Linked DNA regions of Rhinolophus ferrumequinum. The protein of the gene in region 2 purifies or fractionates together with the protein of the main gene of each other region. This does not show direct contact. Links are inferred from orthologs where the notes say so. Each region holds a gene or a part of one and is shown on either strand. Other genes may lie near its edges.

Region 1 (7,071 bases), on a different chromosome or scaffold from region 2:
GAGAATAATCATTTAAATATCATGTTTGACTTGCATTTCTGATTACTGACTGTGGTCATTCATAAAGTTGCAAAATATTTCATCACAACACCAATGATCTCAGGCTTATCACTCTCTCAATGTCAGAACAAAAGGATTTTCTTAAGTGCCTAAGTAAAAGTTTAATAAATACGTATACATGAAAATCAGGAAAAGGTCAACTTTAAAAGAATTTTTCAAAATCAGTTTGAATTAATCTCTGATGTAATAAGTACAAGAAAATAAATTTATTATACAAATTCTATGTCACTCTTTTCTTAAATATCGCCTCAATTAAAAATGAATATTATTTAATCCCCTCAAACTTCTCTAAGTAAGCTGCCACGATCAACTAAATAGAATTTTTTTTTTCCCGTCTAGAAAGAAACAAGCAAAATATTACCCAGTCACTGAAAACAATTCAAACCATTTCCAGTCCCTAAGAATTTTCTCTGAAATTCATGCTGGTAAAAACTATGGCACATTTCTCAGCTCTCTTCAATTTTCTAAACATTATTAAACTACACATATAAATGAAATGGTTTGAATATGGTTAGAAGCTAGAGAGCTAAAGCAGCACCAAATACTCAAAGGAGTCTAATAAGCAAATCTATGTGCCATGTTGGCCAAACAGTAAAAAGAGCAGTTTCAGTTTCCTCTTCTTAATTCCTTAAGTTACTCAGTTATTCATTTTTCCCCCCAATGTTTCTGGTTACCTCGTTCAATAGCTTGAAAACAGCAACTGAACTAAAAAAATTAAAATTTGTTATGAAACTTCTCCTCTAAAGTTATTTATCTACATCTTTTCAGATTGTTGGGTTTGTATCTGCCTATTATTTTGGATTTACTTTCATATTTAGTAGGGTTTCCAGGTGGGAATTCCCGCCTGTTCTCAGGATTTTTTTTTTTGCTTTCCCATTCCAGAATCCCGAGATATAAACTGTTTTCTGTTCTCCACGATGAATCATTTCCAGAAAGTGACGGCTGATATTACCAACCACCTGGGTTCAAGGAGCCGATTTTCCCAATTTCCCAACCAACTTTTCTCGGGATTCGCGAACAGGAAAGTGAAAAAAATTCCTGAGAACGGGTGAGAATTCCCGCTTGGAAACCCTATTAGGCTCAGGCATTCATTGCACACTTACTATATTGACCTGGTAGTCAGCATTAATCAATGTAATTAAGCACATTTTTTTAAAAACAGGAATCAGTGAATGAAGAATCATTTAAACAATACAAATGTTATCTAAATGTGTCATCAGCACACGCGTGAGCACATGTCACTCCTAGCAACCACAGTTTAAAAATGCATATGGTGGAAATCCATTGTGAGAACAACCACTCTCTTTTGTTGCCCCAGAAATACTGAACATTTCCCTTTTAAAATTCCTACTTCATAAGATTAAATGAAAAAATACCTAAGAACTATCATAAAACAATGTATGACCAATGAAATCATAAAATTCTGAGTCCTCAAGCTAATGATGTGGATGTGAAAAAAATGTTACTGGGTAAAGCAGCATGTTGTGATGGCAGAGTACAGTAGAGGGAAAGGAATTGGAAGGACATCAAGAGATTTTGAAACGTCATTTCATCCATTTGGCTCTCATCTGAAAATTAAGTTTTAGATAAGAATCTAAGAAAGCTTTAGATTCAAGCTTGTTCGGAAAGTCTATGTTTCAGTCAAAATGGAATTCCTACTAAGAAAAAAGAAACAAGAAGTTAATCTTTCCTATGAACAAAAAGAAAAAGAAAGCAGATAAATATATCACAATCACTTAGATCAGTTAAAAAAAAAAAAAAACAACTGGAAGGCAAAATAACTCCATACTTACATAGAATGTTGGAATAGCAAATCACTTAAGGAACTATCACATTTAGTGGGTTTGATGATACAGGCAGAAATGGGGAGATAAAACTTGCCTCAATCTTTATACTTTTGCATTATGCCCAATACTGTTATATACATTTTTACTAACCAATAGAATTTAGCAAAATAAAAGAAGCCCATACCTTCTCCATTAACTGTGATAGATGAATATTTTCCATTTGAAAATATTCTTACATAGATATAACTTTCCATTTGAAATATAATTCCTAACATAGAATATTTTCCATTTAAAAATAAACTTACATGGCTCAAAACAAAATATAGACCTACTTATATTACCAGTACTAAGAATTTGAGAGATAAGGATGTCATGTAAGAACAAAACCAAGCAAGTTAGTTATCTACCAGATTAATATTCGATTGGCTCACATCTTGAGACTTGTAGTCATTTTGAAAATACATTTAATTGTAAATTACAAGGCCCAAGCACTCTTTTCGTTTCCCTTTTCTTGGATTACTTCCAAAAGGTATGACTTCCGACAAAGCCTAAAAGAAAATAAACTCGGGGCCAGCCCGGTGGCTCAGGCGGTTAGAGCTTCATGCTCCTAACTCTGAAGGCTGCCGGTTCAATTCCCACATGGGCCAGCGGGCTCTCAACCACAAGGTTGCCAGTTCAATTCCTTGAGTCCCGCAAGGGATCTTGGGCTCTGCCCTCTGCAACTAAGATTGAACACCGCACTTTGAGGTGAGCTCCCCTGAGCTCCCCGGTGGCTCAGTTGGTTGGAGCGCATCCTCTCAACCATAAGGTTGCCAGTTCGACTCCGGCAAGGGATGGTGGGTTGTGCCCCCTGCAACTAGTAAGGGCAACTGGAGCTGAGCTGTGCCCTCCACAACTAAGACTGAAAGGACAACAACTTGAAGCTGAATGACACCCTCCACAACTAAGATTGAAAGGACAACAACTTGACTTGGAAAAAAGTCCTGGAAGTACACACTGTTCCCCAATAAAGTCCTGTTCCCCTTCCCCAATAAAATCTTATGAAAAAGAAAATAAACTTTGGGTATTTGTTTTCAGATGATGTGACTTACTCTCTGGTCTGGATTTCAAAGATGCCAATATAATGTGGATTGTACATAATCAAAACAATTTTTTTTACAAATATATGCTTATTGTAGAAACTTTGGAAAATGCAGAAAAAGTGCAAAGAAGTAGAGAAAAAACATTCTCCATCTGGTCAATGGAGATTACCACTATTTACTTCTTAGGTAGGCTTGATACTATATACCAATACTACCTTGGTATCAAGATTTACTTACTTTTTATATCATGAATATTTCCTTCGGTCATTAAATACTTGGCAGTTTTAAAGTGTCTGCATAGTATCTCATTTTATAGTAATGCCATAATGTGAAGCTTTTTTCTTGTAATCTGTAAAATAAAGAGCTACAGCTAATTACAAGACTTCTTATATCTGCACAAAAAAGAAACGACACAGAAAAGAAGGTAAAATGTAACATGAAGACCATTAATGGAACATAGACAAGTGATAATAGCTCAAGTAGCGTCAAAATAATAGGGTTAACCAAGTCACGTATTTATGTTTACTTTGGGCAAGTCACGTATTTATTTTTACTTTGGGACCAAAGGGTCACCCATCACGCATCTCACTTAATGTTTGTATTTGTACCTTGAATGACGATTTACTTTAATTAGAGAAACTCGCGGTTTTATAACCCAAGGAAATACTACAATCATACCAGGTTCAAGCAACTTTGGTGTGGTCTTTTAAATACTACGATTCCCTTCAGAGAGGGCTACGCGGTAAAACAAAAACCTGTCTGGCGCCGAAGCCACTAGAAAGACATCTTTGTCAGCAGCTCCAGGGCTAACTAGGGTAGTCCGGGCCGGGCGGATCAGACCTGAGCCTCAGATCGGCCGTCACCAGGATAACCGGAGCCGCAGACAGGTGTGAGCTAACAGAACTTTAGGCAAGTGGAGCGCAGACGCGCCTGCCGCGCAGGCGCCCCGCCCTTTTCGCCCTCAAAGCCTGCGCATGCGCTGTCGTAGCTTCACGCTCCGGGGTTTGACCCTTTGTCGTCACAGGGCAGATGACCCTCGTGCGTCCGCCTTTTCCCTCCCTCTTATGTCCCTCCCCGTGTCCCTCAGTTTCCTCCCTCCTCCCCCTCCCTGGGGCGTCCCCAGCCGACTCCAACTTCCGGTCAGCGCCCGTCTGCGGAAGGGTGTCCCGCCTCTTCCGCCTTTACTTTAGAGGTGGCGGCGGCAGCGACGCCTGCGCGTCTTCTTTCAGGGTCAGCAGACGGGTCCCCTGGGCGGTCCACTTGCGCGCGTCGCGGAGCCGCGCCCGGGGGGCAATGGCGATGAACTATAACGCGAAGGATGAAGTAGATGGTGGGCCCGCGTGTGCTCCTGGGGGCACCGCTAAGAACCGGAGGCCGGATAATACGGCCTTCAAACAGCAAAGGTTGCCGGCTTGGCAGCCCATCCTGACGGCTGGCACGGTGCTACCTACCTTCTTCATCATCGGCCTCATATTCATCCCCATTGGCATTGGCATCTTCGTCACCTCAAACAACATCCGCGAGATCGAGGTGAGGGGAGGGAGCGGCGGTGGCAATTGGCGCCGCTTGGGCGCTGGGTCCTGGCCTGCCCACTTCTTCCTCAGCTCTCTGGAGGTTGACCTCCGGGCTTCACCTCCCTCACGCTTTCTCTCTTCCTCAGTGTCTTCTTTCTGCGGGCTTTCTGAATTTGCAGTTTTGTCCGAGCTTCCTCTCGCGATTTACATGGTTAGAGACGAAATGAATGTTTAATACAGAGGGTGGGTCAGATAAAGAACGCCCCTTAATAGGCGGTTTGTGTGGCTCTGGAGATTTTTACCTCCAACGGAGGTTAAGAGAGAGAGAGAAGAGAGAAAAGGAGGTGGAAAAAAAAGAAGTTATATCTAGATATTACTGCGGGAGAAGGGACGTGGTCAGTGTCATTATCTGTGTTGGGACTTCCTAGAACGCAGATTAACACCTTGGCCATTGTTGGGGAAAGGACCGAGAGTCGTAGAAGTATTGGTGATTTTTATCTAAAGAAGTTGTCGTATCTTACCAGGTCACATGTTAGGACAAATGACCGAAGTTTGCACAGTTACCTTTTATTTTGAGTTAATTGATGTTTTTAGTTGTAGGGTATGATATAGGTAAAAAGGTAACTTGAATCTTCTATTCCGGTTTTGCTTTTAGGCTGTGTTTATTAATAACCATGCCCTGCATTCACCCTCGATTTCTTTTTCCCCCTAGATTTTAAACTTTTTTTAAAAAAAGTCAGTGACCACACGGAGAGAATAAGTTGTACATTGTTTACAGAACAGTTTACTGATAGAAGACACGATAAAGATCTGCTCTTTTTCTGAATATCTGAGGGTATTTTTATCTGTTTGAAAGGGCAGTAACTGGTACCAAGGTCTCTTGATTTCTTCTGTTTTCTCAGAGTACATCATTTTTCCCTCTAGTCCTATTAAGTCCTTTTAAGCGTCTGCATGTGATTTAATGGGGCTTTCAGAGTAAGTTTATTTTGACTACAGGTATAGGTGTAAAGATACCTGTTTCCAGTTTAACTTACAGTGTTACTTTTCAAAGTAAAATATATATTTTTTAATTTTTTACAGTGCTCACTTCTGTGTTAATAACACTAATATCATTGCTTTTAAATCTTTTACTAAAAATTAGTTTTCAGTGTAATAACTAGAGAAAGTGTCACAGTATGTTTTTTCAGCATGTATTTTTATTTGCTTTATCTTTTGTGTCTCCCTAATAGTTCTTCAAATGTAGTACTTGTTCTCCCAGCCACACTAGGATCTCACATATGAGTAAAGTGATGTATTGCAAGTACCGTGGGCTCTAGGTTGGGGTCACGCAGAGCTAGGTTTAAATTCCAGCTTTGCCACTAACTAGCTCAGTTTCTTGGAAAACTTAATCTCTCTGAGCCTCAGTTTTCTTACCTGTAAAATACGTAAATAATGCCTATCTTTTATTTTTTTTTTAAGATTTTTTTTTTTTTTTTTAATTGGGGAAGGGGAACAGGACTTTATTGGGGAACAGTGTGTACTTCCAGGACTTTTTTCCAAGTCAAGGTTGTTGTCCTTTCAATCTTAGTTGTGGAGGGTGCCGGTCAGCTTTTCTTTCAGTCTCAGTTGTGGAGGGCGCAGCTCAGCTCCAGGTCCAGTTGCCGTTGCTAGTTGCAGGGGGCACAGCCCACCATCCCTTGCGGGAGTCGAACCAGCAACCTTGTGGTTGAGAGGACACGCTCCAACCAACTGAGCCATTAGGGAGCTCAGCGGCAGCTCAGCTCAAGGTGCCATGTTCAATCTTAGTTGCAGGGGGCAGAGCCCACCATCCCTTGTGGGACTCGAGGAATTGAACCGGCAACCTTGTGGTTGAGAGCCTACTGGCCTGTGTGGGAATCGAACCGGCAGCCTTCGGAGTTAGGAGCACGGAGCTCTAACCAGCTCCGCCTGAGCCACTGGCCGGCCCATGCCTATCTTTTAAAATGTGAGAATTAGAAACAATATAGCTAAGATTCCTGGTATTAAGTTTGTACGATAAATAGGTATGATGATTCCTAATCAGGAGATGAGAAATGGCGCCAGAGAGATTGATACTTACTAGTAAGCTAGAAGAATATTGTAAAATTGAGGCAGAAACCCAAACCAGATGTCTTTATTCTCAACCTTAAGCTTTCACACTACATTAGATTCTTACTGCAGTGTTAGTAGTTAAGTAGAAGAAAATAATTTAACATCAAAAATTTGATCATCTTATTTCAACTTCTCAAGATACTGAGGTGAAAGTAGCAATAATTTGGAATTTTATATGATGGGTAGTATCAAAACTCACCTGTTAATATTTACTATACTATGAAAATAAATATTTACTTTCTTTAAAACTTTTGGGTTTTGAAATAAAATAATGTTCTTCACACTAAGAAGTTGGTAAAGTGGAAATTTCTTTAGTTCTCATGTATATGCTTCTGATTTCAAGTGGCCTAAAGAGCCTGCTGCAGCTTGTTCTGGTTAAAAGGACACTGAAGTTAAAAGTCAAGGCATTAGAGTAGAAGTCCCACCTCTGTTGTGATCTTAGGCATATTTTTGAATGCTTTTTTTTTTTACTAGAAGAACCAAAAGGTCATCTGTAGATGATCTCTAAGATGCTGTCTG
Region 2 (7,617 bases):
TCAGATACAACTCCTGAGAACCCTCCGGTTTACTGCACTGGTACAAATTCTCGAGACTTACCATAGTCATGGTTGTGCGGGAATATGTGAGCAGTCGGGTGTTCCAGCTGAAACAATGAGGTCAAAGCTCATTTCAGCGTGAGCTTAAGGGATTCTCTGCAGAGATCTTGGTCAGGATGCAAAGAACTGGCCTCAAACCTGCAGGCTGGCACCTCAAGAACTGCTGCAAATTCTACTGCATGCCCTGGCGTCCTGGGCCAGCAGTACTTAATTACTAGACTCTGATACAATGCAGATCACTCTTAGCAAAAGAAAAGCAAAGGAGGCTCTTAGGCCAATACTTGGATTGTTCGGTTTCAAATCCTTGGGAAAAAAAAAAAAACCCGACGATGTCAACATCTTAATTTTAAGCTAATGAATTTATTATGAACCAGAGTCCAGTTGTTTTCCACTATAAGAAAGCCATGTGAAAAGCCTACCATTTCCCCAAATATTACAATAAGATCTCTTTGTCACCTTTCCCTTTTTGTCACCCCCAAACAACACTCCAAGATCACAAGAATCTATGTGAAACAGAACTACGAAGTACAATGCTCTTTTACCTTCTCTGGTTAAATGTGAGAAACCAATTTTAGTCACTTGCTTTAGCAAAGCATCCAGTTCCTACAGATTTCAAGACCCTTGACATGTATGATCTAGTGCTCTGTGCCACAGGTAACCTGCTCCAATTTCATAAGACATGTTTCTGGGTGAGGTGAACGTTTAGAAAAACATTAACGCAGCACTCTTGTGATAATATCCTAAAGAGGGATGTACAATTCTTTCTTTTAGCCAGGGTACATTTGTGAAAGTTTCCAATGCAGAAAAAACGAGAGCAAAACCATCCAACGCATGCAAAACGTCAGCAATGCTTTGATAAGGAATAATCGGATGAAAAGACCCAAATCGACAAGTTCTCCAACCCATATTGTGAAGGGTTGGGGGAGCGCACAGCACTCAACCATTTTCCCTAACGACAGAAAAATCTAAACTTACAGATGAACCCTTTCTTTCACATCACTGGAAGCAATAAAATCCTATTCCCGCCACCTCATCTTGCAATTAAGGAAGTTACGACAAATAGCAGCGTAGAAGTCATGGTCCCTGTTTTGCTCTATTATTAACGTACCCTCTTACGAGTAAAACAGGTTACTCAAAAAAGTCAGTATGCAGCAATCGCTTTTCCCTACGCTCAACTCGCACGGAAAAGACATTCCGTGTTCTGGGGACTTGGGAGGGGGGAAACGTGGACGGAGGAGTCCAGCCGCAGCCTGCCTTCCCCCAGGGGTTCAATGTCTGGGGCATTCAGGGCGCGGCGAGGCTCCAGACGCGGCTCTTGGCAGCGGCTGTGCCGCCTGCAGGCGTCTCCACGTCCATGCAACCCACCGACAATCGCCCTCGCTTTTATGTCTCAGCCCCTAAAGGTGAGCACAGGCTGGGGTCTCCAAAGTTTGCCCAGTGTCCGAACAGCAGCCGCCCGGCCGAGTCCCGGGCAAAGCTGAGTCCTGCCCTCGCCTCCGGCCCCCTCAGCCCCCAGGTCTTTTTTTGGGCCACGGATACGGGTCTACGTTTACCTCCCTGTGCTCGCAGCAGAGGAGACAAAAGAAAGCCACCTTCCTGATAATAAAACGCCATCTTCGACTAATTGACAAACCGAGGGGCCCCTAGGTCGGTCTCCCACCATCCAGCCTGAGACGGCTCCCCGTCTCAAGCGGAGTTGGGAATGGCCCCGGAAAGCTCCGCTTACATTGTCAGGAGTGTGTGCGTCTGGCTGTGGGGGGGGGGGGAGGACTCTCGAGAGCCCTACCTGCCTCCCTACCCTGGCCGCCGGGACAGCGGCGTTTCCGGGAGAATTCAAAGGGGGTACAGTGGTGGTGTCTCCCACAGATGCACTTATCTGCTCAGGAAACGTTTCTGAGGGACCCGGCGGAGGGGCTGAAGAGCCGGAGAACCGGCCCGCGTGGGGCCGCAGGGAGTGTACTTACAAAGCGATGAAAGCTCCGGCGGAACATCACGTCCAAGGCTGGGGGCGCCAAGCTGGGATCTGGCGGTCTGTCTGAGAAGGTGCCGTCCACACAACACACTGCGGCGTGCTCCCCGGCCACCCGCCGGCCGCCGCCGCCGCCCTCCTCGGCTCTGCACGTCCCCCCGCCCCCCCGCTGCGCGCGCCCTCGCCGCCCCCACCCCCCGCCGCCTCACTCACCGCCCACCCCCGCCCCGGGGGCATCAACCTTGTGGCTCCCCCTAATCTGGCGCCACACCCGCCGCCCCGCTGATCCCACAGCAGCCCGCGGAAAAGGCGAGCCCGGCGCGCAGGGGAGGGAAGGCGGAGGAGCGTTAGGCTTCTCCGGAGGGGAGGAGACGGTCCTATCTCGCCCCCGGCGCCGGGCTCGGCCCCCGCGGTCTCCACTCTGCCCCCTGGCTGTGCCACCGCCCGCCCTCTCCCCCAGGCAGCCCGCGTGCTTCCGCCCCACTCCGGGCACGGGAGGACTCTCGCAGGCACCCCGCGCCTCACCTCGCCTCAGCCGGGGACTACCTCCCCGGCTCGGTCGGGAGTCCCAGCCTCCCCTGCCCCGGCCCTAACTCCTCTGCGGCGCCGCTTCGGTCACAATCCCTCCTCAGTCCGCCGCGGCCGTGCCGCCCCGCGCTTTCGTCCCGCACCCGGGCTGGGGAGCCACGGTGCCGCCCACCGGCCAGCCCCAAGCCCACGAGGCAGCCAGGCTGTGGGCGAAGAGTGAGAACGGCAGGACACGGTGGAGACACCAGCGCGGGCGGGGCAAGGGAACTAGTTATGAAAGCCGCCCCCTCCTCATCTGGAAAGGCGGGGGTCTCCCGACTGCCCTCGCCTCGCTCCTTTCCCACCTACGCGTCTGTCCCTCCTCTGGTTCTTTTTCTCGTCCTGCCTCTCACCTAAGCCGCCTTACTTCCACTTTCTCTCTGAGGTTGTAAAGTCAGGCTTTGTGTTGTTGCTGCTGCGCAGCGGGGCGGTATTTCCCTGCCACCCCCCGCCTCAACCCCCGCCCCTCGCCCCTCCCCCGCACTTCGCCCAGGGCATCCTGGGAGTTGTAGTCGTGCCCCTATTCCGCCCCGTACCGCGGGCCGGGAGCTCCCCCATTCGCTCGTACTGGGTTTGGTTGAAGGAGGAAGCGGCTGAGCCCGCAGGGCCGAGCCGTAGTTCTCAGAACCGGCTGGATGTGGAAGCCGGGAGCACTCTGTAGATTCCCCGCGGTGGGAAATGTCATAGGGATGAATGAGGCAAAGCCCAGAATGCTGGGAGCCTTCCCAAGGGCGCGAAAACTGTGAAACCCTCTACATGTTTGGGCTCTTAGTTTATAACTGGAATTCACGAATCTTTAAAAGCGAAACACGAAAGCTGAGTCTAGAATTGCCACGAGACTGGGCATCCCAACCCCACCTCACTCAGTTTGCACCGCCCTTTATGGCTTGCCCCAAAGCTGTTGAACTTTTCAGATTCCTCTATAAAACGTAAAGAGCCAAGTAATGGGAGTTCAGAAACTACCCGAGCCTTGTGCTCGGCCATGTTCTCCTGCCAGTTTCGAGTCGCTACATCACGGGCCTCATCCCCTCAAGTCGTGAAGGGCCTTTACTGCTGCCCATAGGCTCTTCTCCTTTTCGTCTCGGGTTCAGGTTCACTTCAACAAACCTTTACTGGACATTTTCTTTGTACCAGGCCCTGTGCTAGGGGCGGGACATGGCGAATTCTTGAAAGACCTCCCCAATAAGATGGCCGCAGGCTAGTTAAGGGATACCCACGTGCGAGAACAGCGCGTTAGAAAGTGATAGCTGCTGGAGTAGAGGTTCGGAAAATACGGCAGAGGGATAGTGCATCTGAAAAGGGGGTTGTTAAGCTTTCCTGAATGCGCTGAAGACTAAACTGGACCTTTACAAGTGGGAAGGCTTTACAAGAGCTGACAAAAGGAGGCATTACAAAGTCCAAAGTGGAGGAAGAGGTGGGTGAGAAAGTGCAGGGCAAGTTAAGAAAACGGGCACACCGCCGACGTGTAGGCGGCGTGGGCCGGGGCGGCAGGAAGGAACTAAACCCCGAAAGGATCTTCAGAAACACCCTATGAAGTTTGAACTTGATTCTGTGAGCGAGTAACCCATCCCTAATGACGTGCAAATGCAGGAGACTTAAGGTATGTTCCCAAACTGTCCTAATCGCCGAGAAGTAAAACCATACGTTCCCAGTTCTTTCCCTAATTGTGGTTCTTTCACTTTGCTCACACTTGAGGCTGTATCTAATGATTTTTTGAGATTTATGTTAAATATATATATTTATACATATACATATTAATCAGATAGTAGGATATTTTGTTTTACTGCAAAATGGATCTAAGCTTTTGCCATCTACTGTTTTAAAGATTTATTTTCAAATAGAGTTTATTTTCTGGCTTTACTTTTATTGAACACAGCAACTAATATAATATTAACTAATATTAATTAATATAATATTAACTAATATAATATTAACTCACTAATGATTTGTTGAACAGCTACTGTGTAGCAGGCCCAATTCTAGGTACTGGAATTTTGGGGTCTCATTCGTTCTAGGCATAATTCTACAATCCTTATCAATAAATGCATGCTTATCAATAAAACAGTTACTAGAAAATGAATTTAGACATTTGGTGATGCAAGTGCTTACTAGTAAATAATAAGTAATATCTTTTCATACACAATTTTGTTAAACAGATGGAAAAATGTGTTTTGCTTATGAATTCAAACAGGTCAACTTAAAAAAATCAAAGAACTGGAAATTGTTTTGCACTATTCTCTCACACACCACTGTGTGAGTATTATCTCACATGCCATTGCCATGTTGCCCAGCTAAAATCAAAGCATTTAGCATCCTCCAAGATAATAGCAGTATTGTCATATTTTCATTTGTTATTGTAATTCCACTATCTCTAGGTCCTCTTAATTTGTTTCATCACAACACCTATACGCATGGGTCCATACTAATTTGCTTGACTATAAAAATGCAATTCCACATAAATTAAAATATGCTCAGCAAAACATAAAATTTCTTGCAAGGGAATTTTTTTCCATATCCAAACTCAACCTGAAATTAGAGTTACTTTCACATCCTTTAGAGTTACTTTCCTTTGTTTTTTGGTTTTTTTAAGACAAGAAGAAATTATTTTTGTTCTTTTCAGTGCTTCTTCACAGTTTCTAAAGAAAACCCAGGTGTAGTAGAAAGCCGTTGTCAGTGACTATGAAAAGCAGACCATCAGCCTGCATTTTCTTTTGGCCAACTCCATAAACAGAACTTCAAAAACTAACTTCCTCCAGCCTAAACTGTCAGAAGCTGCGGTATATAACACAAACTCCTGTGGTGTATCAGCTGACTGCAGCAGAAGCCCCAGTCTCCTGCAGGCAGGAATTGTGAGGAAGCAGTCTTCTGTTCTTATTATATCTTGAGTAGATAGAATGCTTACTGTGGGATAAAGGGAAGGGAGTGTTCCTCCTTGATTTTTTTAAGCGTGCGGCCCCATTTCTGTGCAAGCCCCTCTTTTGACCCCCTTGTTCTTTCCCACCTTCTACCTCAACCCCTCAGAAATCTCACCATGGCAAATGGGCAGAACAACCTCTAGGATACTGGATGTAGTCCACAGTTGAGAAGGAAGGGAGCAAACTGCTTCTGGAGTCAGTCAGTTGATCAGCAATTTCGGGATCCAGCGGAAAGGAATGATGAAAAGGAGGCACCTCCTCCACCTAATACTAAAAAAGGAAGGAAAAAAATTGAACCTGTTATATCAGCATCTAAATCACTGCCATCAGCAAGTTGGAGAAATTCAACTGTCTCTGCAGAGCTTTCAAATATACCTTAGGAGACTACCCTTTGCCCACTTGAAATTTCTTTCTCCCTTCCAAGGCTGGCCTTAATGTTTATTCAAGACCAGTTTTACCCACATCTTCCTAATTATTGGCCCTCTCCAATTCATTCTTTACAATGCAACCACAGAAGTCTTTGGAAGATGAATCAGATCCAGTCACTCCTCTGCTTATGACTTTTCAGTAGCTTCTCATTGCTGTTAGGATAAGTCCCAAATCTTGCTTTACTATCATCTGCAAGGCCCTGAATTCTCTGACCCCTGCCTTCCTCTCTAGCCTCGGGTGGGCCTACTCTCCCCCTCACTCACCAAACTCCACCCCACTGAACACCTTTCATCCCTTGAGTTCCCAAAACTCCTTCTCCCCTGACAGTTTTTGCACTTGCAACCATGTCTGTTGGAATGCTTGCACAAGGTCTTTGCTATTTATCTTTCAGATCTAGCTTAAATGTCACTTTGTCAGGTGAGATCAGGGCTCTCTCTCATAGTGCTCCACATAGCTGTATTAATTACATTGAGGATACTGACAGGTGAGATTAGTAATCATGGAGGACAGCAGAAGTCCAAGGGGATTATGGATGATCTAATATTGTTTTACTTTTCAAAAAGAGGAAGTTGGTATAGTCTAGTAATCATGATATCAAAGGCAGACGAGATTCTAGAACCGATGATAAAAAGGATGGGATATTTCATTACAGTGGAAGAGAAGAGGCAATCACTAGGAACCATAGTGAATTCATTAAGGTATAGTTTGGAATTCAAGATTCTGAGAAAATGATTTCTTTTTTCTTTTTTTTAAATTAAAGTTTATTGGGGTGACAATTGTTAGTAAAATTACATAGATTTCAGGTGTACAATTCTGTATTACATCATCTATAAATCCCATTGTGTGTTCACCACCCAGAGTCAGTTCTCCTTCCATCACCATATATTTGATCCCCCTTACCCTCATCTCCCATCCCCCTCCCCCTAGAAAATGATTTCTAATTCAGAATTCTACATCCTCCCAAACTATATTGGGAGGATAGAGACGAGGTTAGAGAGGTTATGGCATAAGAAGACTAAATCTTTATCTTCCATAATAAGAAGTCATTAAGTTAAAAGATACCAGTATAGTTATATTACTTAGCAATAAAGAAGTAAATACCAGAAGAAACAACATTTTTAAATAATGAAAAAGACTTCTAGGAGCATAAATTGAGAATGAGAAAGAATGGGATAAGGGTCTTCTATCTTTTCTCTCAATAAGTCTTATAACTGACTTTTCAAGTATGTACATGTATTATTTTCATAAAAATAAAAATTAGTTTGAAAATACAAATAGCATTTGGACATGCAGACAGGAAGTTGGAGAGTGTTCTAACCAAGAGAAATGGCAAAGATATGGAGGTGAAAATGTTCCAATAGATGGTAAGTGGACCTGCCTACGGGAGCAATGGGTCCATGTTGAGGAGTAGTAAATGATATAAAATGTCAACCTCCTTTCTTAGGAAGCCACTGGAATATGCATTCCATCATATGAGAGAGTAAACCAAGAAACACGAAGACATGAGACCCAGAGAACGGGATGAACATAAAAGAGAGGTGAAGGGAATTCTCCAGCTGATAATGAAAGACAGTTCAAGGTAAACAGCTGTGGGGCGTACCTAGAAAGCAGCCACGCCAGAGGAGAGTAGGAAGATGGAAGGATACAGGAGGGATGTCTCTAGATAATTTTTTAAAA

What was found. Proteins that work in one complex are often made in the same cells at the same time.
Region 1: the proteins of ATP11C (region 2) and TMEM30A purify together in Homo sapiens (co-immunoprecipitation; 4 studies listed by BioGRID and IntAct, with this or other methods). This does not show direct contact. The link is inferred for Rhinolophus ferrumequinum from reciprocal best matches to the Homo sapiens genes ATP11C and TMEM30A.

What each region holds. Positions count from the first base shown.
Region 1 is NC_046286.1:36,111,442-36,118,512, reverse strand, and holds the start of TMEM30A (cell cycle control protein 50A), read left to right. Parts: upstream 1-4,060; 5' UTR 4,061-4,222; coding exon 4,223-4,459; intron 4,460-7,071. UniProt on the Homo sapiens protein: Accessory component of a P4-ATPase flippase complex which catalyzes the hydrolysis of ATP coupled to the transport of aminophospholipids from the outer to the inner leaflet of various membranes and ensures the maintenance of asymmetric distribution of phospholipids.
Region 2 is NC_046284.1:16,423,472-16,431,088, reverse strand, and holds the start of ATP11C (phospholipid-transporting ATPase IG), read right to left. Parts: upstream 3,005-7,617; 5' UTR 2,950-3,004; intron 2,694-2,949; exon of another isoform or gene 2,555-2,693; intron 2,199-2,554; exon of another isoform or gene 2,096-2,198; 5' UTR 2,052-2,095; coding exon 2,025-2,051; intron 1-2,024. UniProt on the Homo sapiens protein: Catalytic component of a P4-ATPase flippase complex which catalyzes the hydrolysis of ATP coupled to the transport of aminophospholipids, phosphatidylserines (PS) and phosphatidylethanolamines (PE), from the outer to the inner leaflet of the plasma membrane.